Linked DNA regions of Cricetulus griseus. The protein of the gene in region 1 interacts with the protein of each later gene in a biochemical or structural test. Links are inferred from orthologs where the notes say so. Each region holds a gene or a part of one and is shown on either strand. Other genes may lie near its edges.

Region 1 (7,053 bases):
AACAAGGTGAACAAGCAAAATATTGAGGTACATAAAACAACTGCACTAGGTTGGGAGGGGGTAATGAATGTCCTTTCAAGGGTTAACAAATGGGAGAAAATCTATCTCCCTGTTGTTGAGATTTGCTTTTCCCTTTAGCAGTGAGCCATGCTTTCCTTACTGCCTGAGCCTGCAAAGGAGCTGGAAGAAGAGTTTTACAGGTTCAGGGTTCTATTCCCACTAGGGATCTCCCATCCCTAGGTGGAGTGTTAAATGCTTCTCTATTGGTTTTCAGGCTGGACGCGGACCCGCATGCAGCTTTCCATGCTGCTTCCCTCTTGTTTGGAAAGAGTCTCTGTTGCAAGTCCTTCCGTTATTCCAGTTTTCGGCTCTTCATCCCTATGAACCACATGACGGGATGAAGGACCTTGACCCCAGGGACTTGCGGCAATGGTTTAAAGACCACCATCCGGCAAGGCCGGGAACTAGTGGTTCTAAAGTTGGCTGCGTTTCCATGGTGTCGGTCGGGGAGCCGTGGGGGCGGGCTCACGCAAGCGCCGAGGAGGTGGGTGGGAGGATTCCGAGTGTGGGCGCGCAGGCGCCTTAGGGGACTGTGAAGCCGGTGGCCGGTGGCCGGGCCGCACCAACAAAGATGGCGGTGGCCCTTGCGGCGGGAGCAAGCTGGGCTACAGCTGCCGCTAAAGCTGCAGCCCGGCCCGCGGGGAGGCTGTTCGGGGTTAGGAGGGGGTGGCCCTGAGCTGGAGCTGGACCCCGGCTGGCCTCCCCCGCCACCTCCCCGGGGCACAGGTATGGGCCGGGACCTTAAGGCGGGGTGGGGTGGGGTGGGGTGGGGGAGCTGAGGGAGAACGGATGCAGACCCCGGAGGACGGTCACCACAAAGGGAGAGGCTCGCGGTGCCCAGCGGGGCCTGGGGGAAGTAGGCTGGAAGAGCAGCATTCTCGGACCGCGGGGACTATGCCGCCGGACACTGTAGCCAATCAGCGGCCTCGGCCTTTCTGCCCTCGAGGGGGGCGGACCCGGGTAAAACCTCGCCGTGGTGGTGGGAGAGGTGCAGAATTTAGGGGTCAAGTAGTTCGTCCTCCATCCCAAACCATTGCTCCCTGAGCCCACATAGCAAATGGGGGCCCAGAACTGGAGGAGGGAGTGGATTGCAAACCACCCATTTAATCGGCTTCGTTTGCAACCCATAAGGGCAGGGCTTGAGGTTGGAATGCCGATTCCTGCATCCACGGTCCCAGGTCTGAGGCATATCACACTTGACTAGCCAGATAGGAGGATTTTTAGGAGTTTGTAAATTATGAAAACAGCTGAGTCTGGGACTGCCAGTGCTTTTCAGTAAATCTGTAGTCTATAGAGAGGGGGTGGGGCGTGAAAGGCCAAAATGATGGGCTACTATTCAGTCATTCATTTATTAAAGGAATACTAAGTATTTTCCTTGTGTCAAACATTGCTAAGTTCTGGGGATGCGAGAACTGATTTTATAGACGTGATTCATGCCCTCAGTACATGTAGAAGCCAGCTTGCATGGTAGCCTATGTCTTATCTCCCTTACTAATTCAAATGCTGACTGACCCTCTGTTCCCAGGTCCAGCCTGCGGTGTCCACAATGCCCCAGGCTTCTGAGCACCGCTTGGGCCGAACTCGAGAGCCACCTGTCAATGTACAGCCCCGAGTGGGAGCCAAGATACCATTTCCTCCCCGGGCCCGCAGCAAGGAGCGCCGAAACCCAGTTCCTGGGCCAAACTCCGTGTTACGACCTTTGCCTCCCAGGCCAGGTCCCCCGGATGAAAGGCTCAAGAAAGTGGAGCTGGGTCGGGGTCGGACCTCAGGCTCTCGTCCTAGAGGCCCCCTTCGAGCAGATCATGGGGTCCCCTTGCCTGGCTCACCACCCCCAACTGTGGCTCTGCCTCTCCCATCCCGGACCAACTTAGCCCGTTCCAAGTCTGTGAGCAGCGGGGACTTGCGTCCAATGGGGATTGCCTTGGGAGGGCACCGTGGCACTGGCGAGCTAGGGGCCGCACTGAGCCGCTTGGCACTCCGACCTGAGCCACCCACTTTGAGACGCAGCACTTCTCTCCGGCGTCTTGGGGGCTTCCCTGGCCCCCCTACCCTGCTCAGCATACGGACCGAGCCCCCTGCTTCCCATGGCTCCTACCACGTGTTACCTGCCCGGCCCTCTGAGCCATTCTACTCTGATGACAAGATGGTGAGGACTTTCCGGCACGTGTTGGTCTCCCATGCTCATGTTCCTCTTGCCGCCATATGTATGGCTTTCTTGTTCCCTGCTCCGAGTCCCTTTGTCAACCCCTCATTGCACCAGTGGACTCTTCTCTCCGAGGCCTTCTAGATATTATCTTGGGTTGTATGTGATTCTCCAATTTGGTGTGCCACATTTCTGGTCCCTAGGGAATTAACCTAACTATTTAGAATTCTTCTTTGGGTCCTTAGGCCCGCCCTTTTAAGGCAACTTCTCTCCTAGGACTGGGCCTAGACCTAATTAATCCCTGGGCTGAGGAGGGGCGGAGCTAGAGCACCTGCTGATATGGTTACACATTTCCTCAGCTAAGTGAGCTAAGCTGCTTGCAGTTGGAGCCAGCAGGAGAGGGTGCAAGAAGGGGCCACGGGGGCAGGAGGGGGATTTGGGGGCAGTAAAGTGGGGGTGGGGAGCAGCTGGGCAACCATGCCAGTGCTTGAGGAGTTGCCTCAGGAGCTGCATCGCCGGCTGGCCGGCCAGCGGAGTAAATGGGGAATAGGTGTGACAGCCATGGCTGAGTCTGTGGTACACTCAGCTGTGATGGGTTTACTGCTCATGACCAATGAGGTAGGAAGACCAGTGAGGGACAGAGGCTCGAGCTGGGGCGTGAGCAGGGGGTTGGGGAGACATCCATCAACATGTTATTGAAAGTGCCAGTCGAATATGACTGTACTCTGACCTTCCAGGCTCGTCACACACTGCTCCTGGGCTCTGGTCATGTTGGCCTCCGAAATCTGGGAAATACAGTAAGAGCCATCTTCCTGTCCTTTCTCTGTAGAAGGAATGTGAAATGGTGTTGGGGGGTGGAGACAACCTGCGGATTTGGGGAAGGCATGTAGAAGGAGAGCCCTGAGGCCCCCTCGAGGCTTGTTGGGCACCAGCCTTGAAAGGTAATGGCAGCGTCCCTACTGCTTCCCCAGTGTTTCCTCAACGCCGTGCTACAGTGTTTGAGCAGCACTAGGCCTCTCCGAGACTTTTGTCTTCGAAGGGACTTCCGGCAAGAGGTGCCTGGAGGAGGCCGAGCCCAGGAGCTCACGGAAGGTGGGCACCAATTCCTGTCCCTTCTTCTGTTCTCTTCCCCCACCCCCTTCCTTCAATTCTGTCCCCCAGTACCTATGATCCCCACCCCTCCAATCTGACAGTTAACAGCTGTTTCTCCAGTTCCTCCATTCCTAGAGGCTTTCTATCCCCGGAATCTCCTCTTGCCTGCTCTTCTGGACATTAATCCTTGTGTCACTGTCACACCAACAGCCTTTGCGGATGTGATTGGTGCCCTCTGGCACCCTGACTCCTGTGAAGCTGTGAATCCTACTCGGTTCCGGGCTGTCTTCCAGAAATACGTCCCCTCCTTCTCTGGATACAGGTGGGGAAACTGAGAGGATAGAATTTCTTTCTGCCCAAATCGGGGGCTGGGGCCAAGCAGTGGCTACAGCACCATGATTCTGAGCCTTGACATTTTCTACACTGAGGAAGTAGGGACCCATATTTGGGCAGGGAATACTGTCTGTGGACTAAGAGGGGATCAGTTACCCATATTCTGTCTGGCTGTAGCCAGCAGGATGCCCAAGAGTTTCTGAAGCTACTCATGGAAAGGTTACACCTTGAAATCAACCGACGAGGCCGCCGGGCACCACCAATCCTGGCCAGTGGCCCGGTTCCCTCTCCACCTCGCCGAGGAGGGGCTCTGCATGAAGAACCTGAATTGAGGTAAGGGTTGCTCCCCCTTGCTCCTCTCTCTCCCCTGTGGTTCTACCAGTAGCATTCAGTCTTCAAAGAACTGAGCTAACTGAAACTGAAAATGTAGGGCCTGGGGGAGACCCTTTAACAAAGGAGGGGGAATAGTTTGAAAGTATAAGAAATGATGAAAGGAAGGGGGTGAGGCTGAAGGATGAAGATAGAGGGATAAAACAGTGTTAGGAATGCCACTAAACTGGGAAAGGAGGGACCTTTTACAATGAAACACACCAGTGGTGCTTGTAGAGGACGGATGGCACTCTCCCCTCGTGCATATTCTTTTTCCTCTCATCTTGGATTTCCCCAGAAGGTTCTTGGAAAAATATTACTCCTTTGACTAGAAATCTAGGGAAGGAGCTGGTATGTGGGTCGGGATCAGGGCCCTGTGGATAATCTCAATGGTTGGGGTGGGGCTACCCAGTATCACAGCTGTCTCACGGTACCCTCTCCCTTCCCTTGATCTGTGGTAGTGATGACGATCGAGCCAACTTAATGTGGAAGCGTTACCTGGAGCGAGAAGACAGCAAGATTGTGGGTATGGAACGGGGCAGAGCAGTGGGGATTCGGGCTTGGGAGAAGGAGGAAGGGGAACAAAGCTGGATGATGAGGATATGGGATGGTGTGGAGAGTTGGGTGGCAGCAAAGGAGTGGGAAGAGACAGGATTCTGAGAGAGCACCTCAGGCATCCAACGGTGACTTTTCCTCCTGCCTTTTTGTTTCTGTCTAGACCTATTTGTGGGCCAGTTGAAAAGCTGCCTCAAGTGCCAGGCCTGTGGGTATCGCTCCACGACCTTCGAGGTTTTTTGTGACCTGTCCCTGCCCATCCCCAAGGTGGGATTCCAGAGGATTCCAGGGGTGGATGGAACATGGGTTTTGTGACCCACCCCTACGTGTATGGGGGAACTATGTGGGTCTCTGAAGCAGAATTGAAGCCTGGATTATGAAAAGATAAAAGATTTTAAAGGGGGGGATTCAGAAGATGCTGACCCTTACTTCCCCCTCCCCCCAGAAAGGATTTGCTGGGGGCAAAGTGTCTCTGCGGGATTGTTTCAGCCTTTTCACCAAGGAAGAAGAGCTGGAGTCAGAAAATGCCCCAGTATGTAGGGGTTTATAATGGTGGGAGACTTGGGGGTCTGTCTGAATAAAAGGAGATGCATGCTTCCTTAGCATGGGAATAGCAGTTACATGTCTGGGTGTGTGTTAGCATCTCAGGTATGTCGTAGTATGCCTGGGCTAAAGGGGGCAGGGCAAAGCAATGAGAAGCATACTAAATTTATATGGGTATTGGGGTGTCAGAAAAACCAGCCGAGGTGAGAGCACATTGACCTAAGATTGTTTGCTGTTTATTTAGGTGTGTGACCGATGCCGGCAGAAAACACGAAGTACCAAAAAGCTGACAGTACAAAGATTCCCCCGAATCCTCGTGCTCCATATCCTAATCTTCCAGTTCTTATTTCTCTTAGGATATCTCCCATACATTCTGTTTCCTCACCTTCACTGAGTTTTCCTTGGGAAAAACCTGCTACCCCAACTCTCTTTGCCATCTTCCAGGACACGTTGGGGGAATGGAGGGTACTGAACTTCTTACCTCAGCTCCCTTCCAGACCTTCAGCCTCCCAAATGCTCCTTAACCAGGGCTCAGATCTGAATCGATTTTCCACCTCCCGAGGCTCCATCAAGAAAAGTTCAGTAGGTGTTGACTTCCCATTGCAGCGACTGAGCCTAGGGGACTTTGCCAGTGACAAAGCCGGTGAGTCCGCTGGGGGAAATGTCCTAAGGAACCTCCAGGAGAGGGACACAACTCTTGATTGTAGCAACTGATCTTGTCTAACCCACAGGAAGCCCTGTCTACCAGCTGTATGCCCTCTGCAACCACTCGGGTAGTGTCCACTATGGACACTACACAGCCCTGTGCCGGTGCCAGACTGGTTGGCATGTCTACAACGACTCCCGGTGAGAACAGCCTCTTATTCAACCCCTGCCCCATCCCACTGCAGCTCCTATGAGGCCCCAAAAGATGAGATCCTGACAAAGGACAGGTGGAGTCTCTCTCCCGAGCTCAACCTGGGTTCTCTGAGGTTGATTCTTGTAGGAAGGAGGGAAATACACAGAAATGACTACAGCCATCCCCCATTTCCCTTCTTTGTAGTGTCTCCCCTGTCAGTGAAAATCAGGTGGCATCCAGTGAGGGCTACGTGCTGTTCTACCAACTGATGCAGGAGCCACCTCGGTGCCTGTGACACCACCTTGAAGCCCTGGCACCTGTGAAAACCTTTTCAACACCCTCAAGCCCCCAGGCTCCCCATTTACCTCAGAGACGTCTATTTTTGTGTCTTTTTAATCGGGGAGGGGGGGTTGGTTGTAGCTCCCATTATTTTTTTTATTAAGAAGCACCCTTCCACCTTGTTTCCTGTCCCTTGTACAGAGCTCACCAGGCCCTTGACCATGTACAGCCCCCAGAACCTCTGCAATCTCACTTTTTTTGTGAATAAATTTATTAAGAAAACGGTGTTCACGTTTGTATTTGCGGGTAAGAGGGAATGGATATCCTTCCAGACTTTGGTTCAATTGGATCTTTCTTGGACCCAGTTCCGTCTCTGAACAGGCGGGGGCGCTCTCAGAGCAGAAGGAAAAGAACAGGGATTGAGTAGGCCTCACTCACACTTGTGCCTTAACAGTTTAGTGGTATACTAAGAAGACAGGCCTTGAGACTTGTGAAGCCTCGGAGAAGCCTAAAGCTAGAGTGCAGGCATTGGCACGCCGGGTTTGGCGGAGAGGGGAACTGCCCCTCGAGAGCAAGGCACCCAAGAACCCCTGTTGACAAACACTGGTTTCGTTGCCGGGTGGCCCTAGCTCCCGTAGGGCCTGGCTGTTGCTAACATCAAAGAGCTGTTTATGGCGCTACTTCCCCACGGACGGGCCTCCAAGTGTCTCTCTCCAGCCAAGGCTCATGGGGCCCTCCAGGGTTCTCACCACGGGCCTAGGAAGCTTGAGCTGGGGAATGCTAACTCCGGGATTCGGCTTTTCTCTGTCTTGGCCCCTGGGGAAGGCAGTACCGGTTATCA
Region 2 (7,845 bases), on another chromosome or scaffold:
GCGCTGCAGAGCGACGCGGGGCGGAGAGGGGCCCGGGGGTGGCGGGCTGTCTCTCGGGGCTCGCATCGGTGCAGCGGAGATCCAGGTGGCCTCGTCCCTCCTTGGGTTTAGGTTCTGGTGGGAATGGGACCCGGACCACCGGCCATACCGGGTGATTTGCAAACCGATGGCGGTGGTATGGACGAAGCAACTGCGGCTCAGTGGGGACCAGGCGGGGGTCCCCTTGTAGAGACGCCCGGGGTCGTGCTGCCCCCTCACCGCAGCCTTTTGAGCAGTCGGTGTCGGTGTAGACCCGCGGAAGCTCAGCTTGTAGAATATTCCGGAAGCCCCGGGCTCGGCCCCCAGCACTGCCTAAACCATCATGGTAGCCCCCGCCTTTAATTCCGATGGTGAGGAGGTGGAGGCAGGCGGATCACAAGTTACATGGCAGATCGGAAGCCAGCCTGAACTGTGACCCTGACTCAACAAAAAAAAACAAAAATAAGTCATCTCCCCATCCCCACACCCAGCGTGGTTGCTCACATCAGCAGTCTGAGGCAGGAGGGTAGCCTTGAGTTTGAAGCTAGCTTCCGATACAATGTGAGAGCCCTTCCCAAAAGTGAGGCCTATCTGGGAATGTAGTTCTTGTGTACCACGCCCTGGATTCAAATCCTAGCACTGCATACACTGGGCACGGTGACCATGTTTGTAATTCCCATTGGGGAAGTGGAGGCAGGAAGATCAGAAGTTCAAAGTGATCCTCCATTATAGCATGTTCAAAGCCAGCCTGGGCTACATGAAACACTGTCTCAAAAACAAATACAAGACTGATATGGTCCCAAATTCCTTTAATCCCATCACTTGGGAGCAGGTAGAAGGACTTCTGAGTTCCAGACTACCTAGGAGGGCTACACAGAGGTACCCCATCTCAAACCAAACAAACAAAATCCTGGCTCCACTGCAAATGTAGGAAATAGAAATATCTTAGGGATAGGATCCTGGTATAGCTAATCATGGGAAAGCTAAAATGCAGGTCATTTAGCCAAGCTGGCATCTGGTCCCAGGGCTCCGTTTCCTACAGGCTTCCTACAGGTGAGGTGGGTACAGCCCCAGTCCTTCACTTAATGCCTCCATCTCCTGCCTAGCCTCCCCCATCTTTGCAGTAGGGGCTTTTCAATAACACGCAGGTGTTTGTCCTGACTGCAAGCAGGTGTTTGTCCTGACTGCAACCCGTATCTGAAAAGGGAAGCCCAAGGCTGATTCCTGCTGTGTCAGGAGAACTTTTCTTACATGGAGTTGTAAATCTTGGCTGAATGGGATCTGTGAAGGTCATCTGATGTAGATGAGAAGGCGAAGGACTGGGATTAGGGGAAAAAATGAGGCCAAGCCAGGAGGGTAGGAAGTGACAGCTTGCAAGGTAATAGATAAACTGGGAAATGGGCAAATGTGATTGGCTGAAACCTGTTCCCCAGGAATCAAGTTAGTGCTGGGTTTGCCACCGTAGGGGAAGCTGAGAGACTGGCAATACCGTGGGATTCAAAAGGCCCAATGGGAATGGCTTGGGAAAAGAGTAGGTGAGCTTTGTTGTTCAAGGGTTATGGGAGATGGGACCATGGCCTGGGGTAGCTGTGCAGCAAATGGGTAACCCAAGCAGGCTGTATATGCTGGGCATCATGTTTTAGAGCAGAAAGAACAAGCCCAGGAGGGAAGAGAATGAGAGGATGTGAGGAGCTGGGTGCAGGATTGTCAGTGGGAAGTGTGAGGTTGCAGGTCACAGAGGCCTGTCTGTCAGAGGCAGTGACTGCGGAGCACAGCAGTACGTGGCTTCCTGTCAATGAAAGGCTCTTGTTTCTCTCTTCAGGTGACATGGACAGATGTAAAGAAAACTGTGTTTCCAGGCCTGTTAAGGTAAAAAGAATTACCTGTAATCACAATTGAATTTTGAAAAGTTGTTTTGAAATGAAATGCATTTTGTTTGTGTGCACCCATTGTTGTAATTTAAGAAAAGCAGCCTTCAAGAAAGATGGCATGAGACAGGGTTCAAGCAGAGAAGGGCTTTTTATTAGGGAAAGAGATCATAAATAGGGGAGGGGGAGACAGGAGCACCAGCAGAGAGAGAGGGAGGGAAAGAAAGAAAGAAGGGTGGGAGCTGACAGCAGCTGAGGGCGTATCCTGTCAGAACAGGCCAAGGATAGATGCCTAAATACTAATATTCCTCCCTCTTATTATAAAAAGATGAGTCATTAGAAAGGGGTAGCAGGTGAGGTGGGGATGAGACCATTGTGTTTTCAAGACTACTTCCTGCTGACCTGGGGGGCATCGTTCATCTTTGGGGGACCTAGGAAAGCTGGGGTGCTAGCCATGTCCTGGAGTAGCTGGCTGTTTCACTTCACTGTCCAGGCTCTGTGGAACCATCAAGGTGCCTCCTGAACCTGGCAAAATGCCGTTCTTGGTGAATCCAAATCAACACCCTAGGGCGTAAAGCGCCTGGTCCTTTCCCGTCACCACAGCATCACTGGGCATGTTTGGTAGTCTTGTGCCTCCAGCTCTACGGCCAACACCTGGTAGTACTGCAACAGTAGCCGATTAGGAATGGTCCGTGGGTCTCCAAAAACATCTCAATAGGAGCAAGGAGGCATAGATGGTGACACAGCTCCCATGAGTGAGGCAGAGAGTAAGACCCAAGGGTCTGCAATTCCTAGCATCCCAGGAATTCAGAGAGGGCCAGTTTCGAGACTGGCACAGGCTGTCACTCAAAGGGTGGGGGCCAAGGATTCTGAGCCTGAGAGATACAGTCGTCTGGTACCCAGACTCCGGGAAAAGCCAGAAGGCGAGGAAAGAACTGTGCTGGAGAAATGTCTCACATCTCTGGGAATGGTCAGAAGTGGATAACCCCACCAGAGACCCATTGTTGGTATGGATGGAAGACAAAGCCGTCAGATTTGTTGCAGGTGGGAGAGAGTGAAGGAGAAGCAGTTGGGTAGGGTCCCAGCATGAAGTGATTACAGAGTGCTGGGAAGCGGTTTTGGCAGGCGTATTCCACATGAGTGAGACAGAACAAGATCCCGTGGCTTTTTGGGGCGCTGGGGTTTGAGACACGGGATCTCTGTGGCTTTGGAGGTTGTCCTGGAACTAGCTCTTGTAGACCAGGCTGCTCTTGAACTCACAGAGGTTCTCCTGCCTCTGCCTCCCGAGTGCTGGGATTAAAGGCGTGCACCACCACGACCCAGTGATCCAATGGCTTATCAAGTGAGAAAGGCACAAGCCGATTTGGTGATTTTGTCTGTCAAGGGGCAGGGGCTAAAGTAACAGAGGGTCTAAGACTGGCATAAGCCACCCAGTGGGTCATCACACAAAGGGTGGGGCCAAGGACTCAGAGCCCAGTTGTATCAGGATTTAACCAGGCCAAAAGGCAAGATACCTTTCATAAGACAGAGGAGTCCTCACTTGTGGGAATAGCCAAGGTGGGGAAGGTGGAGTGGCTCACCAATCAGGATGATTTTGGATGGAAGTGAGGTTGTCGTTTGTGAACCGGGTTCTAGGGTGCTGGCATGCCTCAAACTGCCTTCGGGCAGGAGGAGATGCCAGGAGAGCATTTCCTGGTTAGGGAACCAATGTTGTAATTTAAGAAAAGCAGTGCAGACTCAAAATGGATGTCATGAGACAAGGTTGAATCAGAGGGTTTTTTATTAGGGGGAAGGGATCATAAAAAGGAGAAAGGGGGGGGAAGAGGTGGGGGAGGTGGGGGGAGACCGGAGACCGGCCTTTGGAGACAGGAGCAGCAGGAGAGAAGAGGGGGGAGGGAAGAGGGGGAGAGAGGGGGATGGGAGGGGGTGGGGCCTCTTAAAAGGGAACATAGTGAGTGTGCACACGTGGTGCTCTCAGTGGCTGCAGCTGAGGGCGAGTCCTGTCAGAACCCCAAGGGCAGGCCAGTACTGGTACCTAAATACTAACACCCATGCCAGAGTGTGTTCTTTTTACCATGTGGGTTGGGACTCTAACCCAGGTTGTCAGGCTTGGCTGCAAGAGCCCTCATCCACTGAGCCATAGGGACAGTTCCTGTGAAAGTTGTTCTGGTGTTCCCTTTCCTGACCCTGCCTGGAGCCCTCTTGTGCGGTGGCCTCCATTTCTGCAGGAGATGGCTTTGCACTTGCAGCCTCCTGCCGTCTCAGTGGGTGGTGAATCCTGAGCCTCTTTTTAAACAGAAGCAAGTCCTACTTACAGTGCAGTGCAGTAATAATGATTCTTCCAGGAACCTACATTTGTTTCTTCTGTGTCAGAGTTCCCCTTTTTTTCCTATTGAAAACTCAACTTCTTAATAATTTCTTATGCATTTTAGTTTTGGAGATTACATTCCTCCATCCCCCCATCACAGGGTTTCTCTGTGTAGCACTGGCTGTCCTGGAACTCACTCTGTAGACCAGGCTGGCCTTGAGCTCACAGGAATCTACCTGCCTCTGCTTCCCAAGTGCTGGGATTAAAGGTGTGTACTTCCAGGGCCTCCAAACCCTGGGTGGAGATTACATTCTTAAAAACTATTTCTGTTGGGTAGGGCATGGAGGGCACTGCACTCCTTTAGTTTCAGTGTTTGGGAGGCAGAGGCAGGCGGCCTGACACAGAGTCTGATCTGTTTTGTACAGTGAGTTCCAGGCTGGTCAGGACTATGTAGTGAGGTCCTGTTGGTTAAGTACTCTTGAAGTGAAATCAGGGAATTGAACAGTAATGCCATTAATCATCTTATAGAAAACTTGCATAACCATAAGTTTAGACTGCTTTGCAGAATTGCTTGCGGATGATGGTACTGGGTACAGTCATGGGTTTCCTTCAGTCTTTTTCCTAAACAAAATCCTAACAAGGTTTTGATAACAGTTGAGTCTGCTGCTGACAGATGGGCTCACTGAGGCTGGTCTAGGGCTCAGTGCTTCTCCTGCCTCAGCCTGCCAAGGACTGGGATTACAGGTGTGGGCATTACAGCATCCCTGGCATCGTAACCTTGCAGAGGCCTAGTTCTCGAATGGTTAATAGAGCAGGATTTGGGGCGAGGGTGGGAGGTGTCCTCACTTTTGCCACACACACTTTAAAATAGCTTCATCTCCCCCTCCTTTTAACTTTATTTTAAAAAAGATTTGTTTATTTTATGTGAATGAATGCTTGCTTACATGTATATCTGTGTACCATGTGTGTGTCTGACACTTGAGGAGGCCAGACGAGGGCATCAGAACCCCTGGATCTGGAACTACAGATTTTGAGCCACCGTGTAGGTTCTGAGAACCGAACCCAGGCCCTCTGAAAGGGCAGCCAGTGGTCTTAACTGCTCCGTCATCTCTCCGGCCCCCATTTCCATTTATTATCCACCATGTTTATGAGTTTTGTTAGATTTACAAAAGAAACTTGGTTGAGTTCTCAGGGTACCATCAGTCATAATGCCTGCTTTCTCTCTGTCTCAGACCACAGGTCCCTTTGGTCCAAAACGAGTGTTGGTGACAGAGCAGATTCCTGCTAGCAGTGGCCAGGCCCAGCGTGTCCTATGTCCTTCCAACTCCTCCCACCGTGTCCCTTCACAAGCACAGAAAGCTGTCTCAGGTCAGAAGCCAGTGCCAAAGCAGTTGCCAGCTGTCAGCGTTCCTCGGCCAGTATCCCAGCTTAGTGACCCCCAGAAGAGTGAGCAGGCATCACCTGCGGACTCTGGTAAGCCAGTCTTTTCACTGCCTTGGATCGTCATTCTTTTAGCTGTTGCTCAAAAAGCAAGTGGGTAGATTGGTGTTTATCCTTTGATGCCCTAGCTTCTATACCGTGTCTGCTGAAGATGAAGAGAAGATGGGATGATTATAGATGTAATTGCCGGCCCTGCCAAGGGGAAGCTACTGGATGTTCTTTGGAGCAGAAGGAATTGTTGCCTGTAAGGCAGAGGCTGCTGCTGCTGCTGCTGCTGCTGCTGCTGGTGTGTCTGAGAGCAAGGCTGAACTCAGACGGCAGTGACTGGAGCAGGGTTAATGTTGATGATTAATTAGCAGCTCAAGAGTGCTTGCTTGCAAGATCAGAGATATAGCCTAGATCTGCATCCCCACAACCCTTACAGCCGTTTCACGTAGACAGCCAGTTATTGGTACACATCTACAGAAGGGGCTAACACGCAGCAGCTAACTTGTCTTGAGAGGTGTGGGTGAATTTGCTGCCTCATTTAGGAAGCAGATTCAAGATGATTGGGAGGTAAGACTTGGAGGATGTGTGGCAGCTGTAACAGTGTGGGAAGAGAGAAAACTTGAGCTGGGTCCATATAAGGGGATAGAGGAGTTTGTAAAGTAAGCCAATGGCAGGCAGGCAGTCTGGAGGAAACCCACTTAAATTGTGTACATATATACTGGTCCCCCGAAGGGTGACTGCGGCAGGGTCAGATGGCTGAAGCTTATGTAGGATCCTGAGCTCCAGCAATGGAGAGGGGCCTGGGTCCTCCAATGGAGAGAGAGAGGCAGCTACCAGCTGGGAAGGACAGAGGAGCGGATGCAGCCTTTTAGCCCGCCCACTTTGTCCCCTTGCTGTCTGTCCCTTAGAAGTGCACCTGTGTCTTTAGGGGTCTTCTGGGCCTGCAGCTCCTGATTGGCAGGACAGAAGAGGTTAAGGTGTATTTTGGGTAGCTTCTTCTGGTCTCCGGTCACATTGTGGAGTCATGGTCCTCAGCCCCACAGTGGTGAGGGGAAGACATGACATGAGTCGAGAATGAATCCTGAGGAGACATTAGTTTGGACTTAGGTCGGCTGCCCCCACTGCAGGTGGAGAAGGTGGCTGTCGGTGGCAGCTTGAGGATGGAGATGCTGCTGCTGGTTTCTCTCTGGAAGCTCTTTCTGGGCAAAGGCTCCAGCAAGGATGGACAGTCCTGGTCTTGTTGGAGGGGAAGGGGGGCCTGCTCATATTTACCTTAGGAATTATGAGACCCCATGTGGCAGGAGTCAGGTTACGGGCTGTGGTTTCTGATTTAGTAGTCTCCCCAGGGAAGAAAATGAAAGGCTCAGGTTTATCATGCTTGATAAACTCACAGAGATCCAATCCAGCCTCTGCCTCCTGCGTGCTGGGATTGAAGGTGTACACCACCATGCCCCGCTATGGGACTATCCTTTGACTTATCTCTGTTCACAGACTTCTTTTTTCTCTAAGAACTATATAGTTGCTCTAAAAACAGTATTTTAACTTATTTCATATAGGAAATAATTCTGAAAACGATCGGGCATCAAAGCAGAAAACAGAAGACTCAAAAAAGTAAGCTTTCTTCCTCATCTCCCGGAGTACCATCTGGCTGCAGGCCACCATCCCCATTAAAGCAAATTTACCAGGGGACCCAAAGTTCTTTAATTTTTAGTTCTTTAATTATGCTTTTCATAGAAAATTTTATTAAAACTTTATCATTTAAAAAGGTAGTAAATAGAAAAACACCACACGTTAATATGCAGCACCGACTGGAAGACTAGACAACTCAGTGAACTTCTACACAGTTTGCGAGGCCGTTTGGAATGGCCTGTTGGGTCTGTCCTGGTTCACCTATGACAGTGGCTCTGTATCTCACACCAGAGTGACTCTGCCCCACAGCCTGTTGGCTTCTCTGGGGTTGTGCAGGGAGGTCCTGCAAGGGTGTGCTGTCTGTACTGTTGCTGTCCTGTGGTGGTGAGGGTTGTCTGTATTCTGGAGTGAGGGCTACTTTGGGCTGGGAAGTTAGCCTTTAAGGTTTGTGGCTCATTCTGGTGGTTCCGGTTAGTGCTTATTAACTGTATGGACTGGATGTAGTTGAGCATGAACAGGTTGGCAGGTTGACTGCTCATTGGCAAATGGTAGAGGTTTTTTCGTATTTTAAATGTTCACATTACTTTTTAGGAG
Region 3 (8,411 bases), about 37 Mb from region 1:
TATGGATCATTGTTGCTTAATTTCATACACATCCTTCTGTACATTTTCCAAATGGACAGAAAATTCAACTAGGACAGTTTGAAGGGAGGAAGCTAGATAGACAAGCAAGTTAGGCAAAAGCAGTTAGAGGGAAATATAGGTAGGGAAGTAATGTTACTTTTGGATTCTGATTTTCTGGGACTTGGGACTTCATAGAATATTCAAATGGCATTAGTTCCTAACAAAAGGGTTAGGCTGACCAGTAACCATTTGATTGTGTTCATTTCTCATTCACAAAGAACAATTAAGAAATCAACCATGAATCACTAGCTTTTAAAAGATGTGGTTACATCCCGGATATCTTCATATGGCTGTCCTATCACAAAATTCCCAGGGACATTAATTTGGACTAATACCATAACTAGGGAGGGTATCTTCATAAAAACAGGCTGAATCTTTAATCCAAAGAAGACTGAGGGAAGACTGGGGTAGTGGGGTAAAAGTATAATTTTTATTCTACATCTAATATTCTAACACACTAATGTAAACGGTCTCATTTCAATTAAAAAAGAAATTCTTGTAGGACAGGCAAAAACTGAACAAAAGAAAGTGTATCATTAGGAAAAAATTTCTTTTAGTTACGATGCAACTAAATTTACAGATTTTTCAAAATTCTCATGAGTTTACTCATTAATAAATAATTTCAAGAGCTTAATAAGCACAGGCAAAAAATATAAAACAACAACAATAATAACAACAAAACCCTTTAAATTTTATGAGGCTTACCAGTTTGTATTTAGAAGGAACATAAATAATTAAATAATTTGCATATAATGCTTCACCTTGAATGTTCTAAACTAGAACACTACTCTAAAGCCAGTTTTCAAGTCAGCAAATAATTAAAAAGCCTTTTTTTAAAGCCATTTGACTATCAGTGTCTACCTGGCAACTGGACAAACCAGGTGTAAGATAAATAGGATAAAAAAAACTCCCTAAATAAATACTAAACAAACACTTGGAATGAAGGCTTTGAATTTTAAGACATCAGCACTCATTCTATTTCTTTACATTTACTAAACTAATCCTCTGTAGATAATGCAGACTCAAATTTAAAGTGACAGGAATTTATCTTCAAAAAATAGAACATGCCCTACACATTATAAGTTAATAAATAATTGTTACATGAACAAACTTCTGGATCCAAAATTTTAGAAACATTGAATTTGGATGCTCAAGTGGTATAGGAAGGCAGACTTTATAAATATGATGCACACAACTCGATTAATGGATGTCACCCAGTATTATATTTTTAATGTACAGTTTTAAATTAAATTATTTTATAGAGGAAATAAAAGAGATAAAAAAAATCATCTGGACCAAAGAGACTTTTGTGAGTCATTTACACATGTCACAAATGCCAAATGTTCAGTGTTCTAACTTCACTGGTGCTATATTTAAGGCTCAGTTAAAGAAATAAAACAAAACAAACAAACAAAAAAGGAACACAAAAATTAAGTATTTTCAATTTATATGACTATAATAATTGCTATTGCCTGACTGGCTATGTGCATAAAGGTTTTCAAGAAAGTCATCCGGTCAGGTGTGGCGGCCCCTCCTTTGTAATCTCAACACTCAGGAGGCTGAGGCAGAAGGACCACTTCAAGTTTGAAGAGCCTGGTCTATATAGTAAATTCCAGGCCAGCCAGAAACACATAGGGAGACCTTGTCTCAAATCAAGAAAGAATGTCACCTGATGAGTGAAGCATACTTTGTGAATCCTTCAATTGTTCTTTAAAGGAACTTTCTAAATTGTTCACTTTAATATTCCTTGATTTTACATCGTTACCACTACCAAGTAAAAGGCCAAGGGTTGACCTTAATTTGATAACATTTACTAAGATACACGGGAAAAGATGTAAGTGCTTTAAAGTGCACCGATGGTTGCCTGAGCTAAACAGTAAATCTGAGATTGAGATGACAAAACTTCACAACAGTATGCCTCTTTACATTGTATGACAGAGTACACAAACTGCAACTTAAAGATCCCTGATCTTTAGAAGAATTAAGAGGTAGAAAACTTTACCTGGAAGATTGTATAGTGAAGTTAAGTTTTGAGTGGGTGTGTCTTGAGGATTAATCCATCAAGCAAATGGCTACATATCTGATACTAGGTAGCAGGATTCTGAGAGAGCTGTATAAGGCAAGGATTTTAAAACTTTATATTTTAGAAGTGAAACAAACCCAATCAATTATTTAAAAACTGAAAGTCAAAGATCACAGGTAAACAAAGTACTAACTTGCAGATCAAAGTGGAGCTATGAACACTGTTATCTATGAAAAACACATTTACGAAATCAATTGACACCTTTGAGGAAGACTTGTTTGGAAGAAGTGCTTTCAGCAGGACAACTGAGGGAATGAAATCCCTCAAGACAGATTTAATGTAAAACAGCAAAAGAAAAACATCAAAACAAAACAAAACCACTCAAATTTGAAGATACTTTGAATTTTAAACTAAATTAGCAATTAAGAAGGCATACCCTGCTTCATTAAAAAAAATCTAATGTGACAAATACCAACACATGAATTGCATTAAAACATGAGGCCAACAGTCTTTTAAAGCTTCAGTAAGCTGCTTCAGGCACCTTTCCCCCTTATACATTCTACTTTATACACTAGAAAATCTCCAACAGGACCCCATTCCTGTTTTGGATAACATTCTCAAGGAATACACACATCCCTGTAAAATTGCTTTTTATGCATTTAGAAGTTGTTAGATACACTTATAAAGTCTACCAAATTGCAATATAAAAAGTTTTGACAATTCTGAGTATCTTCATCTGATGAATCAATTCAGAATTTAGAAACTACTAACTCATTCAAAGTTATTAAAAGGAATCAACTACTGGAGACACCGAAGTATATGTCCAGTGAACCTCTGCAAGGCTTTCCTCATTACCTAAAATATGATGTTTTCTTCTGTAAGTTAAAGAGCCGATGGGTGCTGGTTTATAATAGAATCCAGTCTTCAGGTTAGCATCAGAAGTGACCCAAGCCACCTATTCCGTCACCCTAGTAGAAAGAGGGCATGCCACTAGCGTAGACACACACCTGTAAACTTGCACACTAATTTTAATCTTAACAAGGAATTTCAGGGTCAGTCATACTGGTTTAAGTTAAAAGGATGGTCCAAGCATTGTGTTCTTCTATTCTGTAGGGTTATGAATAGCTTATTGGGAAACCCAGAGCCTTCTGGATCTGTGAGGTAGTAGGCTCCAACTCTTACGAACAGATCACACCTCTCCAAAGTTGGTGTGGCCTGTCTCCTTGGCATGTTCCCTTGCTTCCGCTTGTCCAGTTAACCCCTTCTGACACACCATGCATCTTAGGGTGAAGCGGTTTACATCAGTAAACTGTCTCTTTCTTTTAGCTTCTTCCGCTAACTCCAGTGCTTGTACAAGAACAATATCATCATTTGAGGAGAAAATGGTCAGAGGAGGAGTATCTGGATCAGAGAAGTTCCGCTGAAGAGGATCATAGTGGATACCGTCGTAGATGAGCAGAACCCTTTTGGTATATCCTGCATCTTCCCCAAAACGGTCAATTCTAACTGTCTGGGTATCTACCACACATATTTCACATTGATAGAATTTAGACAAAATTGATATCTCAATTGCTCCTCCCCAAGTATCATCCCTTTTGATCCATTCACAGTACTCTTCATTTGTTTTCCCCAGTATTGCCTCACTATAGAAGTCTGGGTCACTTGCTACAATCTGTGCTATGAGACGTCTCATGTCAGGGGCACAGGCTGGATTCAAGACTCCTCCTTCAACGACATAGTACACACTGGTAAAGAGGCAGGAGTTGTCTGCCGGGACTGCGGTTCTGGTAAGCACAGGCAAAGTTTCCCTGACATAACTAGGAGCACCATATTTTGAAAATGCAGGTGAAGCTTTTGGTCTGGTTTGGTCTTCTTCAACAATCAGCATGTCACCTGTTAAAAATAAAAGAAATCCAGAACTGCAGAGAAATTATAGACTGGGTGTTTATTAGCCAACTCCGTAGGTAAATTATGAGCCACATGAGTTAAAACAGGGTTACCAAGGAGAACTCGACTTTGTAAACAAGAGACCAGAAACACTTGTTTGTTTTTTAGTTCACGGTGTCTTCAGAAAGGAAAAGAGGAAAAAAAAAAAAATGCTTCAAGTTGCATCTCAACCTGGGAGACAAAAACCCTTATGTGAAAAGATAAGTTGAAAAACAAGCTGGGCAGTGGTGGCTCAGGCCTTTTAATTACCAGCGCTTGGGAGGTAAAGGCAGGTGGATCTCTTTTGGGTTCGTGGCTGAGTTCCAGGACAGGCTCCAAAGCTAACAGAGAAACCCTGTCTCAAAAAACAAAAACAAAAACACCCAAACAACAACAACAAAAACCCCTCCTGTGTTCTGCATTTTAAACCACGAATCTTTCAGATGTTAACCACAGACTAGGTAGGTCACCGTGGTATTTTCCTGGCACTTTGCACGACTATACATACCATTTGATGTGCAGAGGGGCCTTGCCACAGAATGGAAAGCCTTTTTTTTTTTTTTTTTTTTTTTTAATGATCAACACTGATATTCAAGTTTTAATACCGGGAACAAAACTGTACAGTAAATACAGTACAAGTAAGCGTACACGAAACAAAACTATAAAAACAAATTAACCGGAGAGAGAGAGAAAAAAAAAACCCAAAACACACCAATTGGTTAAAATCGGTTATCACAACTGCTGGCCTGCTGGTGATGGGGACAGAGAGAAATAGGGGTCCTGCTGTCCTTTGGGAAAGCAGAGGAGACAAAACGAATGGGGCGGTCTCGCGGAAGCCGGCTCAGGGAAGCGCGAAGTTCAAGGCTCCGGGCTCTCCTCCCTCCCAGGCAGCGAAGAGACTTGACACTTGCCCTGCCTTCCCGGACGGACGGACGGACGGACGGACGGAGCTGGGCTCCGCCAGGCCCCCGGCTGGCCCACCGGCACCTTGTGACCCTTCCCCGGTCCCGGCCGGTGCCCGTACCTGACTGGATGGGCAGGTCCCCGAGAGTGACGTCCCGGTCGCGGAGGTCCAGGCACTCGGGCGGGTAGCCGACGAGGATTCGCTGACTGCCCGGGGCGATCCCGGTGATCGCGGCGATTTGGCCCTGAAGTTCCCGTAAGCGGGTCCGGCTGGACAGTCCCTGCAAAACGTGAGTGCCACCCTTGGCCTTGCAGCGGAGCCGCCACATGGTGTCGGCCGGCCGGCCACCTGCGGGGCCAGCTTTGGTCCCTGCCGCAGCCTGGGAGGAGACGACGCCGCCGCCGCCGCCGCCTCCGCCGCCGCCGCCGCGGAGCAACCAGCAGGGGGGACTCCAAAATGGCCGCCTTTGGCGCCGCCAAACATCGCGAGAAGTAGCCGCTGTGGCGCTTCTCGCGTCACCTCGCTTAGGGACCGGCGTCGGTCCTCGGCGGAGCGCGGACGGTTAAAGTGCTAAGGGCGGCCGGCTGTCCCCGGGCGCTGCGGTGGGGCGCCCTGGGCGTCCGCGGCATTTATGCTGCGGGGAGGAGGGCGGGGAGGGAGTTCCCGAGTCTAGCAGAGCGGGGTGTCACCTTGCAGGGAGGTCGGGGATGATGAAAGCCGCCCTGGAGACACCAGGAAAAGCAGACTCATGGCTGACAAGGAAAACAAAGGTCACAGGACCTGCCGGACACTCAGGGGCGGCTGACGAGGCCCGAACTGATTCACCGGGGCTCACGGGACGGCACGACCGCACTCCTGGGTGAGACGAACCTGAAAGCGTCCATCTGCCACCTCAGAAAGACTGTGTGAGGTCAGCAGCCGTGCCCGGGGGCGGCGATGGCCTCACCCGGGGGCGGCGGCGGCGGTGGCGGCGGCATCAAGGAGGACGCACGCCTGTCACCGCACCCCCGGGGCCGCCCCGGGCGTCCAAAGCGGAAGACGCTTCGTTCCCGCACGGGGAGGGGGGACCACACGTCCTCATGCGGCTCAGAGACAGGGGACGGGGAGGAAGGTCATGCCGGACACACGGGCGGGTTTCCAGCCGTGTGTGCCGAGAGCCCGGCACGGCCTTGCCCATTAAAAAAGAAGAAAAAAAAAAAGTGCAGTAAACGCCAAATAATGACAGGGTTTGTAGCACGCGCGAGTAACGCACTAGGGCCGTGAAACGCATACTTGGACTGGCTGGAAGACGACCCCATTCCCAGGTAAAGAGGACACGAGTAAAGCCGCCCTGGTTCCTTCACGTTTCATACTTAACGTTGAAGCAGCAAGTTGCCTCCTCCCTCCCTCCCTCCCTCCCTCCCTCCCCGCCCGCTCGCCCACCGGGGACCGTCAAGTGCCAACGGCGTGCTGAGCTGACGGGGTAACCTCGGAAAGAAGTACTTCTGGAACGTGTAAAAAACAAAAAACAAAACAAAACAAAACGCCCGGACACAGCCTCTCCCTAAGCCTCTCCAACTGCAGTAGGCGGATCTCTGGGAGTTCGAGGCCAGCCTGGTCTCCAGAGCGAGTGCCAGGACAGGCTCCAAAGCTACACAGAGAAACCCTGTCTCGAAAAACAAACAAAAAGACAAAAAAAAAAAAAAAAAGAACCCACTGCAGCAGCAAATGTTATCCCTCTCCACCCCCCACACCAGGAGCAGGTGCAGTTTTCCTCCCTGGCTCTTCCAGATGACCACGGGTGACACAGTCTGGGTCGCGGCAGTGGGAGGACACGAGGGGGCGTGGCTTGGAGCCACCTGGGGCCAGGGAAGCTCGGGTTTGGAGCCTGGTTGGCTTAGGTTAGCAGTCAGCTCTCGCACCCTGGTAGCCAGCCGGGCATCTCTCAATTAAAAGCACATGTCTACCTCCCCGAGACTTGGGGAGTAACCTGAGCCTAGCTGGGGTTCAGGCGTGAAGGCGTTAATCTTCGCTCTTTCCCCAGTCAACTCCCACGCAGGATGTCAGTCAAATAGGTCTCGCGAGAGTAAGGGAAAAAAAAAAAAAAAAAAAAAAAAGGTAAGGCTTTTTAATTAACCCCGCCTTCAGCTCGATTTGTTCCTAAGCAACGACGCCACCAAGCTCCACTTGAGTCGTCGGGTCTGGGAGCCCGCAGCCCTAGGCGATCACAGATCCTCCCCGAGGCAGCCCAGCCTCCCCAGGAGCCCGCCTCCGGCCCTGCAGGTGCTCCATTGGTCCAGCCTGCCTCCAGGTGAGGGCTGATGCGCTGGTGGGCGGAGCCAGCGGGCCACGTGATCGGGGAGGGAGGGGGGGTCCGGGGCTTCAGTCTGTCGGCAAGGTCTGGTTCTCGGCGCTCCGGTGGCGGTGGCGACACCAGATCCACAGCCCCGAGGACGAATAGGGCAGGTCGAATAGGGTGAGCGATGGTTGAGCAGGATGCGAGGACGCGAGGATGGGGTGCTGCGCGGGCGCGGCTAAGGTGCTTAGCCCTTCGGGAAGTGTAGCTCCCCTGGCGCTCCTGGGGAGCTGAGCCGCAGCTGTTAGGACTGAAGGATTTGTGCTGTCAGGCGAGGAGCCGTGCAAGGGTTTTTTGTTTGCTTTTTTAATACGACCTTTTGTCTTGAGCTCCTTGGTATCTATCTGGGTTTGAGAAGTGAGACTCGGTCCCTCCTACCCTGTAGTTGGTATTAGGACCCAAGGCTTACTTTGTATGTAAATCATTTTCTTCCGCTGAGCCCCAGAGGGTGGAAAGGAGAGGGCAGGGAGGACGACTTGAGAATGGAGAACAGAGGAGGAGAGTGTAACACGCTAGGGATATCGCAGTCCCGTTACAATTCTTCCTTCAGAGAACATGTTTCTGCCCCTGGCCTCTCCAGCGTTCCCCTTCTCATTCTTCTTTTTTCCCGCTTCAAGACTGAGTCTTACCTTTGGATTGAGATTGCTTTCTTGACAATGCACTTCGCTTTTCCCCACCTCCACCTCACCTCTGATTGCCACCTCCGTTCTCTCCGTATTCTTAAAACTAGAATGTGAGGTCTAGAGAATTGGACAAACACTTTAGTCGGTTATCTTTGATTTGTCAGTTCTATAAAACAAACTGAAGTAATCATGATGGGAAAATCTGCTTTATTGAAAGATTACTGGAAGGCTTCCTGGATTTGAGATACATGAATGTGAACAAGGTCAACAAATAAATTCTAAGTTGGAGTGCAGCTCTATAGGTGAGGAGTCGGGTTTGTGAATTATCCAAGAACAAGTGCGCTTGAATTGGAGGAAGAGGCAGGATCTGAATCTTGGTAGGGACTCCTTGCTTGTATCACAATAATCTCTATTGTTTTTAGGGACACCTTCCTTCCCTTCCTTGTATTTCCCCTATCTCTTTTCCCAGGTGCCTCCTGAAGAACTACCATGTCTGGGAATTCATCTTCCACAGAACACAGAAGCAGCAGCAGCAGCAAC
Region 4 (7,453 bases), on another chromosome or scaffold:
TTTAGTTGAAGCAGAGTCGACTCTTCTACTGTATGGTAGAGGAGACCCAGTTCTTCCAGGAGAACTGAGCACCTGCCCTTGCTCTCTGTGCACGGAAGACTCAGCCATAGTTCTCTGCCTATCTCTCTGCTCTTGCTTCACCGAAACCCAATCACTGCAGCACCTTACGAAGGCTCCCTGTACTTGTGGATTAGACTAGGCACCCTTCCTCTCCGCGGACCACCCCTTCTCGCCCTGGTAGAGGGCCTCACCACAGTCCGAGTTCGTCCCCAATTCACACCTCCCCAAACCCTATTCCTTTCCTTTGACGAGAGTGTACACTTGTTTTCAACAAGAGGGGCTTTGGACAAGGTTGGGGGCAGCCACCACTGCAACTAGGGCCTGGGCACCACGAGAACAACCACAGCGGCCCGGCAGTAACTTTCGCCCGGAGCTGCAGAGTTTTCCGGGACCTGGTGCCCCACCCGCAGGCTTGGCGGTCGCCAAGGGAGCTCGAGCTGGAGCTACAGAAGCGTTCCGGTCTCGTTCCCACGGCTTGGGGCCGGGGTCCCAGCAGGGCGGCCAGCACGCGAAGGGCGGGCCTCGGGGCTGGGAACCACGGGGGAATAGGGCCCCCGGCTGGGATTCCAGAGGGCTGGGGTCTCGTGGGGTTTTGCCGGGGCCCACCTTGCACGAGTACGTGTGCTGCACCGGGTCCACGTTGAGAATCTCCTCCACCGTACCGGTGAGCACCACATTCGCCTCCTCCTCGCGCCGCTCCAGGGCGCGCTCCGGGCACGTCCCGCTGGCGCCGGGCAGAGTGCGCTCGGCCACCACCAAGAGCAGCAGCAGTGGTAGCAGAGGGGCCGGGCAACATAGCCGCAGGCTGGCCATGGCGCAGCCTAGAACGGCGGAAGGCAGCCGGGAGAGCGCGCGGGATGGACCGTTCAGGGGGCAGGACAGAACTGGACCGCAGCTAGGCGGAGGAGGTGGGAGGGCGGACGGCGTGGGGGCGGGCCAGGGGCGGGAACTGAGCAGCACCGCCCCTCCCCCTGGGAGCTCGGCCCGCCTCCGCTCCCTACGACCAGCGCGGGCAGCGAACAAAGCCCGGAGACTGCGGCGCCGAGCTGAGGCGGGGGCCTCAGCTGGGTGGGTGGCAGGCCGCCTTGGGGGAGGGGAAGGTGGGGCGCCAGGCGCCCTTCCCCCGTCCGCCCAAACTGTCCTCCCACCAGGAAATGCAGCTGAAATCAGGTTAATGTATAATCTAGGGACGACGTGCCGGGACTTCCAAGGGACTCGCCGGGAGCGGCAGGGTTCTCTGGATAGGAGAGGCTACCGGAGCTGGACCTCTCTTTCCCCTTGTTTCGGCCCCACAGCAGGATTGCTCAGAGCTCCCGCGGCCTTAGGGCCCCGCCATAGGCTCTAAGGTGGACTAGAGGGACTACGCCCCCTGCCGGTGGCCGGTCTGCGGTGACTGGCCTGAATTGCGCTCAGACCCGCCTACCAGCCCTCTAGCTTGGTAGGACGGTGGGATGCTTCTTATCGACCTATGGCTACCTTCTCTTGTCTTGCTGCGGAACCTACCACAGCTCCTCCTCCTTCCCCTCCCCCTCTGTGGACCGGCGCTTATCCAGCTTCGCCTGGCTAGGTACAGGGTACAAACTGAGGCCCAGGAGAGCTAAGCTAGCTCCGGATCTACAGAAGGTTGAAAGAAAAACAGAAGACAGCTCTGTCTTCACAATACTGGGATTGCTGTGCCTGGGCCACAGGCCTTTGAACCAGAAGCTAGAATAAAGTGTGTGTGGCAGAAGCGTTTCCTCCTGAAAAAGGTACTACCACCAGGACCCTGACAGGCTTCAGGGAAGGGGGTGGTCAGTGAAGGTTTGGTATCACGTCTATACAGTGGACACCAACACCCTAGATCTGGAGTCACCTGACCCAGGTATGCACAAACACACCAACCAAAAGTGGGGGCTTCTGAGTCTCCACTCAAATTCTCTTTAAAAGTCTGAAGGTTGAGCCGGTCGGTAGTTGCCCACGTCTTTAATCCCAGCACTCAGGAGGCAGAGGCAGGTGGATCTACTGAGTGAGTTCCAGGACAGCCTCCAAAGCTACACAGAGTAAGTAACCTTGTCTCAAAAAACCAAAAACAAATAAATTAAAGTCTGAAGGTTGAAATGTTATGGTCCCCCAGGACCATAAAGGTACTTGTCCTGACTTGCTTGTGCCTTAGGCTGCCTCAAAGCATGAGTAAGTAACTAGAGTAGGAAAAGACAAGAGAAAGGAATATCAGGCAGGAAGGGGATGAAGGCTTTCCAATTGGGTGCCTCCTATCTGAGATAGGATTTCCTTTGTGGACAAGTGAGGCCCCGAATCCAGGTGCCCCCTTACATGCCAGTAATGGCCCTCTTTATAGCCCTGATGAGGTGTACTTGCTAAACACCCATGTCCTAAATAGCAACTGGTTGATGTGAGTAGGGAGGCCCTGCCCTACCCTTCTGTGGACTAGTGCTGGTGGGACTAGAAACACCCACAGAAAAATACAGCACCCTCCTTCACAACCCACCCAGGCAGGTCCGAGAACATTCCTTCACTATTTCCAAAGGATCTGGGGAGCAACTGGTCCCATTAGGAGCCTCATCCTATTACTTACAGACCTACCCCGACCTGTCCCTAAGCCAGATACAGAGATCAGGACTAGTTGTTGAGGGGCTGGATGAGTCTCAGAACTGGGTCCCAGAAAAAGTGTCTTTCTCTAGATGTGAACTACCCAAAGGGTTTGGAAGGGGAATTCTCTGACTAGGCTCTAACTGTGAAATCCTTGTCCCTTAGCTTGGCAACATAAGGCCTTGTCACAATGGATGGACTTGGGTTCTTTCACCTGACCTCAGCAGGAATGTAGAAGAGAAGGCAACTGATGGACATTTTTGAAGGACAAGCACAGGAGGCAGAACTTCTCATTGGATCACCTTTTATTACCAACATAGGCTATGGATAGAGGCCTCAGGCATAGCATACCCTCCTTACCCCCCCACCCCGAAGGCGCAAATTCATGAACACTATGCACTGGGGCTTTAGGTCATACTCCCCCAGTGGCTGTTGGTCCTCCATGGGCCTTCCCTCAAAGCTCAGCCAGAATTGGTCCTCCTGTATGTGCTCCTTCTGGGACACCTGCCTCTTAAGCTCTGCTACGGTCTGTGTCAGCCGGACCTCATAGATACTGCTTCGGCCCCGATCATTCCGAACCAGGATGCTCAAAGGGTTGTTGCAATTCTGTACAATCAACATGACAATGCTGTCAGGGCCCAGGCCCTGGCTGATGAGGGCAATGTTCTCTTGTAGCATGTTGCCACTTTCATGGGCCAAGCGTTGCTGGAAAGCTGGAACACCAGTCTTGTGGAAAATCTGCCTCTTCAGTCCCGATAACGTCATGGAGTTAGTCAGGGGCACCAGGAACTCGTCACCCCCCAGCATCTTCACCTTCAGGTTCCAGGTCTGCAGGCATCACATGGGTTTAGCAATGATTCTCAACCTTCCTAATGCTGCTACTCTTTAATACAGTTCCTCATGTTGTGGTGACCCCCAACCATAAAATTATTTTCATTGCTACTTCATAATTAATTTTGCTACTGTTATGAATCATAATTTAAATATCTGATATACAGGATATTCTATATGCAACCCTTGTGAAAGGGTCATTTGACCCCAATGGGGTCTTCACCCACAGGTTGAGAACCACTTTAAAGGTTTAAAGACTCCTCTGGCACCAGTACTGGTAGTTACTACATCTGAAGCACTGGTCACAGGACCAGTTCCCATACCCACCCCCATCCTCTCCTCCATCAGAGGGGACCATCCAGGTATGGGGATGATACAGAGGAGTCAGTTCTAAAGGACCAAACTCCTACAACCATCACATTTCAGTTTACCCACCAAGATATCCTTCTGGGTCCAGCCCTAAGGGATCTAGGGCTGGTAGCTGAGCAGACAAGGAACCTAAATCCCTCCCTCATAGTGATCTTTGAGCAACTATATTCTGTTTCCACACTGTGACTATTCTACCTCTTGAAGACCCTCTCAAGGAATGGAGGAAAGCCAACTAGAATGGAAACCATCTGCTCCTGCCCCAAATAGGACTCACCATGGCTGTAGGCTTTATCACTAGGTCCCCTGCAGGAACTGAGGAGTTTGCTTGTTGAGGCTTCTGGCTGCTCTCTCTCTCACATCCAGAGACAGATGTGTGAGAGGGCAGCTCTTTTAAGTGTATGAGCTGTGGGTGTCAAGGGGCGGAGTCAGAGCAGCCTTCTGTTTCGGTTTCATTTTCCCAAGGCATACCTTAAATGAATGGGAAAACCAAAACCAAAGCCAAAGGAAAAGAAACTGTAGCTGAGAAGAAAAGGGACTGGCTCTCCAGGGTCAAGATCACAACTGAGACCTGTGTACTATGAAACCCCCTAAATATCCAGCATTTCAGATCCTTTATAAGGCATGTAAAAGTCATAATAGGAACTAATAATAGGAAACTTATTTTTCATTTATCAGCTTGAAAATTAGTTATCTTGGAAAAATGCCACAATAATTAATTCAGAAACTGCACAAAGTAGTGACAATCAAAACTGCCCAAAGACAACAACTATTGGTTATTTGTTTAGGACAATAATTATTAGAATGTACTGGGGGGGGTTATAGGAAGCATTTTGTTGTTGTTTTCAGACTTCTCTGTGTTGCCCTGGGTGTCCTAGAACTTGCTCTGTAGACCAGACTGGCCTCAAATTCACAGAGATCTGCCCACTGAGTGCTGGGATTAAAGGCATGCACTTCGGCCACCACCACCATCTGGCCAGTAGGAAGTATTTCTATCCTAGGACAATTTATTAAGACCTTATTGTTTACATGAAGAGGTAATAATTGAGTCAGATGGTTTTTGAGCTAGTCCTTCTATGCAGTCCGTGCTGACTTCAAACTCACTATGAAACTGGCCTTAAACTGATCCTCCTTTCTTTCCTGTCCAAATCCTGAGATTACAGTTACACATGTTCTATGCCAATTTCTGCAGTGATGGGGAACCCAGAGCTTCATGCATGCTAAGTAAGTACTCTAACTACTGAGTTATATACTTACTCCTCAGATTTTTTCCTAAGGTTTATTTTTAATTATGTAGATTGGATATGGGGTGTGGGTTCAGATGTGCATATGTGAGTACAGATGCCCTTAGAGTCTAGAAGAAGGAATCGGATATATAAATTTTGTTTATGTATTTATGTTGCATGTATGTATGCATATGTGTGCTTGTACATGTGGAGGTCAACATTAATGTTGAGTGTCTTCTTCAATTACTTTCCACATAGCCATCTTCCCAGCCCAATAGCAAACATTTTTAAAGGAGTAGGATCTTATTTTTCTTTCCAATGACTATATGAATGAAGACAGCCCATTTCACAAGTTAACCTTAACCATCAGTATGGCAACCAGAGATGGGATGGAGTTCCTGAGGCCTCTTCCTTCTATGTCCCCTGCTTGTCTGGTTTTCTTTCTTTTCCTTCCTTCCTTCCTTCCTTCCTTCCTTCCTTCCTTCCTTTCTTTCTTTCTTTTTGCTTTGTTTTTCTGGACAGAGTTTCTCTGTGTAACAGCCCTGATGGATCTGGAATTGGCCTTCAACTCACAGAAATCTGTCTGCCTCTGCCTCCCAAGTGCTGGGATCAAAGGCATGTGCCGCCACCACCGGGTTTCTTGTTTGGTTTCTGCAGTCTTCAGAGAGCAGGGGGATTCCACATAGACTCCTTCCTCGGGCTCAGCATAATGCCACATCTGAGAACATAACAGCCCAGCCTTGCTGTCAACCCCAAGGCATGGGTGTGTGTGTGGGGGGCACGTTGGACTTCTGCTCTCCACTTATCTCCAGTCTTAGAAGGAGTGGCTTTTGAGGTATAGTTCAGCACTGGGATCATAAAGGAGCTTCCTAGAGCTGAGAAGCAGAATTCTTTTAGGTATAAACTAGGACCAGACTAGAACTGGCCTCAGAGAAAGAGAGACCACTTCTGGGAAGGTACCTAGATATGGTCCTTTTCAGGGATTCTGGAACAGGCATTCATTAGTGGCCACCTTCCAGCCATCAACCTCACACACTAGGCGGATGAAGACTTTTTCCAGAACCAGCTGGCTTACTCTGTTATCTAGAAAAGCTCCTCAGAGTTCCCCAGACCCTTTCTGGGGTCAGAAGCCTCTGTCCTACAGTCCCTAGAGTATCCCTTCCCTTCTTCACTGAGTTCCCTTTCTAGAATACCCTGGGAGTGTCATTCCCTCTACTTGGCCTCTTAAAAGCTTCCTTCTCTCTGAAGAACCAATTGTGAAGAAGTGGCATTTTCTCTAACCCAACAAACTAGTCACTTACTTTCTGTGGCTTACTAAGACAGATTTGAAACAGAATTAGGACATTTAGCCTCCACTGTGGTCTCAGGGAACCACCATTGAGTTAATACAGAGTGCCAGTGCTAGTCTGTGATTGTAATGTCTGTATGCCCTGCAGTGTAACTCAGAATGAAAACAATAGCAACCATGAAATAATAATGGCCCTTTTTTCTTTTTTTTAATTTTTAAAATATTTATTTATTATGTATACAGTTTGCTGCCTGCATTTGTCCTTGCAGGCCAAAAGAGGGCAACAGATCTCATTATAGTTGGTTGTGAGTTACTATGTGGTTGCTGGGAATTGAACTCAGGACCTGTAGAAGAGCAGTTAGATGAGCCATCTCTTCAGCCCACGGCCCTGTTGTTCTCCTTTGAAAAACACAGATTTTAAATTTGCCATATTTTGGGGGTGGGTGTTTTGAGATAGGATCTTACCATGTAGCTCTGATTGTCTGGAAACTTATTAACTTACTGTGTAGATCAGGCTGGCCTCAGACTCACAGAGATCTCCTTACCACTGTCTCCTTCATACTGGGATTAAAGGCATGTGCAACTACACCCTCCTTGCCTTTTTTTCCCCCCTGAACCTAGTTAGCAGTGGGCTAATGCAGAATATTATCATTAGCTCTGTGACATCATCCCATCTAGTTTGTATCACCACTGACATCTTTATCCTTACATTGCATGAAATTGTCCTTCCACTTGCCCTGCAGTATCAGCTGATACCACCTATCAGATAGCTGACAGGAACCATCTGACCTCCCTCTAGTTTCAGTGGCCGGTGTTAGTTCATCTTTCTACCAAAGTTTGTTCCTAGGCCTGTTTCAGGCTCCTTGTTAGAAACTGCATTGCACATGAGCAGATGGTGTTCAACTGTGCAGACAAGGGGCAGACTTTAAACTACAAAAGCCTTGAGGGGTGGGACCGCGAGGAGATGCAATGGGTCCAGGCTTTGCAGACCTGAGAATTTGTCTTCTAGCCTTTGGAGAAATCATGAACTGCCTCCCATATCCACCGGTGCTTCCTCTTCGAAGGGAAGTAAGCCAGGAGCCTCCACCGGACTCGC

Evidence for each region.
Region 2: the proteins of Usp21 (region 1) and Aurka form a complex in vitro, tested with the Homo sapiens proteins (2 studies listed by BioGRID, with this or other methods). The link is inferred for Cricetulus griseus from reciprocal best matches to the Homo sapiens genes USP21 and AURKA.
Region 3: the proteins of Usp21 (region 1) and Yod1 form a complex in vitro, tested with the Homo sapiens proteins (2 studies listed by BioGRID, with this or other methods). The link is inferred for Cricetulus griseus from reciprocal best matches to the Homo sapiens genes USP21 and YOD1.
Region 4: the proteins of Usp21 (region 1) and Isg15 form a complex in vitro, tested with the Homo sapiens proteins (2 studies listed by BioGRID, with this or other methods). The link is inferred for Cricetulus griseus from reciprocal best matches to the Homo sapiens genes USP21 and ISG15.

Annotation. Positions count from the first base shown.
Region 1 is NC_048598.1:21,588,559-21,595,611, forward strand, and holds Usp21 (ubiquitin carboxyl-terminal hydrolase 21), read left to right. Parts: upstream 1-580; 5' UTR 581-786; intron 787-1,585; 5' UTR 1,586-1,606; coding exon 1,607-2,206; intron 2,207-2,940; coding exon 2,941-3,000; intron 3,001-3,174; coding exon 3,175-3,295; intron 3,296-3,505; coding exon 3,506-3,617; intron 3,618-3,805; coding exon 3,806-3,961; intron 3,962-4,458; coding exon 4,459-4,523; intron 4,524-4,715; coding exon 4,716-4,819; intron 4,820-4,997; coding exon 4,998-5,084; intron 5,085-5,339; coding exon 5,340-5,418; intron 5,419-5,630; coding exon 5,631-5,738; intron 5,739-5,826; coding exon 5,827-5,941; intron 5,942-6,137; coding exon 6,138-6,228; 3' UTR 6,229-6,499; downstream 6,500-7,053. UniProt on the Homo sapiens protein: Deubiquitinates histone H2A, a specific tag for epigenetic transcriptional repression, thereby acting as a coactivator.
Region 2 is NC_048599.1:6,972,516-6,980,360, forward strand, and holds part of Aurka (aurora kinase A), read left to right. Parts: intron 1-1,840; 5' UTR 1,841-1,845; coding exon 1,846-1,887; intron 1,888-5,426; coding exon 5,427-5,667; intron 5,668-7,178; coding exon 7,179-7,233; intron 7,234-7,842; coding exon 7,843-7,845. UniProt on the Homo sapiens protein: Mitotic serine/threonine kinase that contributes to the regulation of cell cycle progression.
Region 3 is NC_048598.1:58,325,199-58,333,609, forward strand, and holds the start of Yod1 (ubiquitin thioesterase OTU1), read right to left. Parts: upstream 5,503-8,411; 5' UTR 5,397-5,502; coding exon 5,336-5,396; intron 5,301-5,335; coding exon 5,034-5,300; intron 3,977-5,033; coding exon 3,273-3,976; 3' UTR 1-3,272. Other genes in the region: Pfkfb2 (6-phosphofructo-2-kinase/fructose-2,6-bisphosphatase 2), read left to right, coding at 8,361-8,411. UniProt on the Homo sapiens protein: Hydrolase that can remove conjugated ubiquitin from proteins and participates in endoplasmic reticulum-associated degradation (ERAD) for misfolded lumenal proteins.
Region 4 is NC_048595.1:119,614-127,066, reverse strand, and holds Isg15 (ubiquitin-like protein ISG15), read right to left. Parts: upstream 4,278-7,453; 5' UTR 4,124-4,277; coding exon 4,121-4,123; intron 3,597-4,120; exon of another isoform or gene 3,475-3,596; coding exon 2,983-3,474; 3' UTR 2,934-2,982; downstream 1-2,933. Other genes in the region: Agrn (agrin), read right to left, coding at 667-873.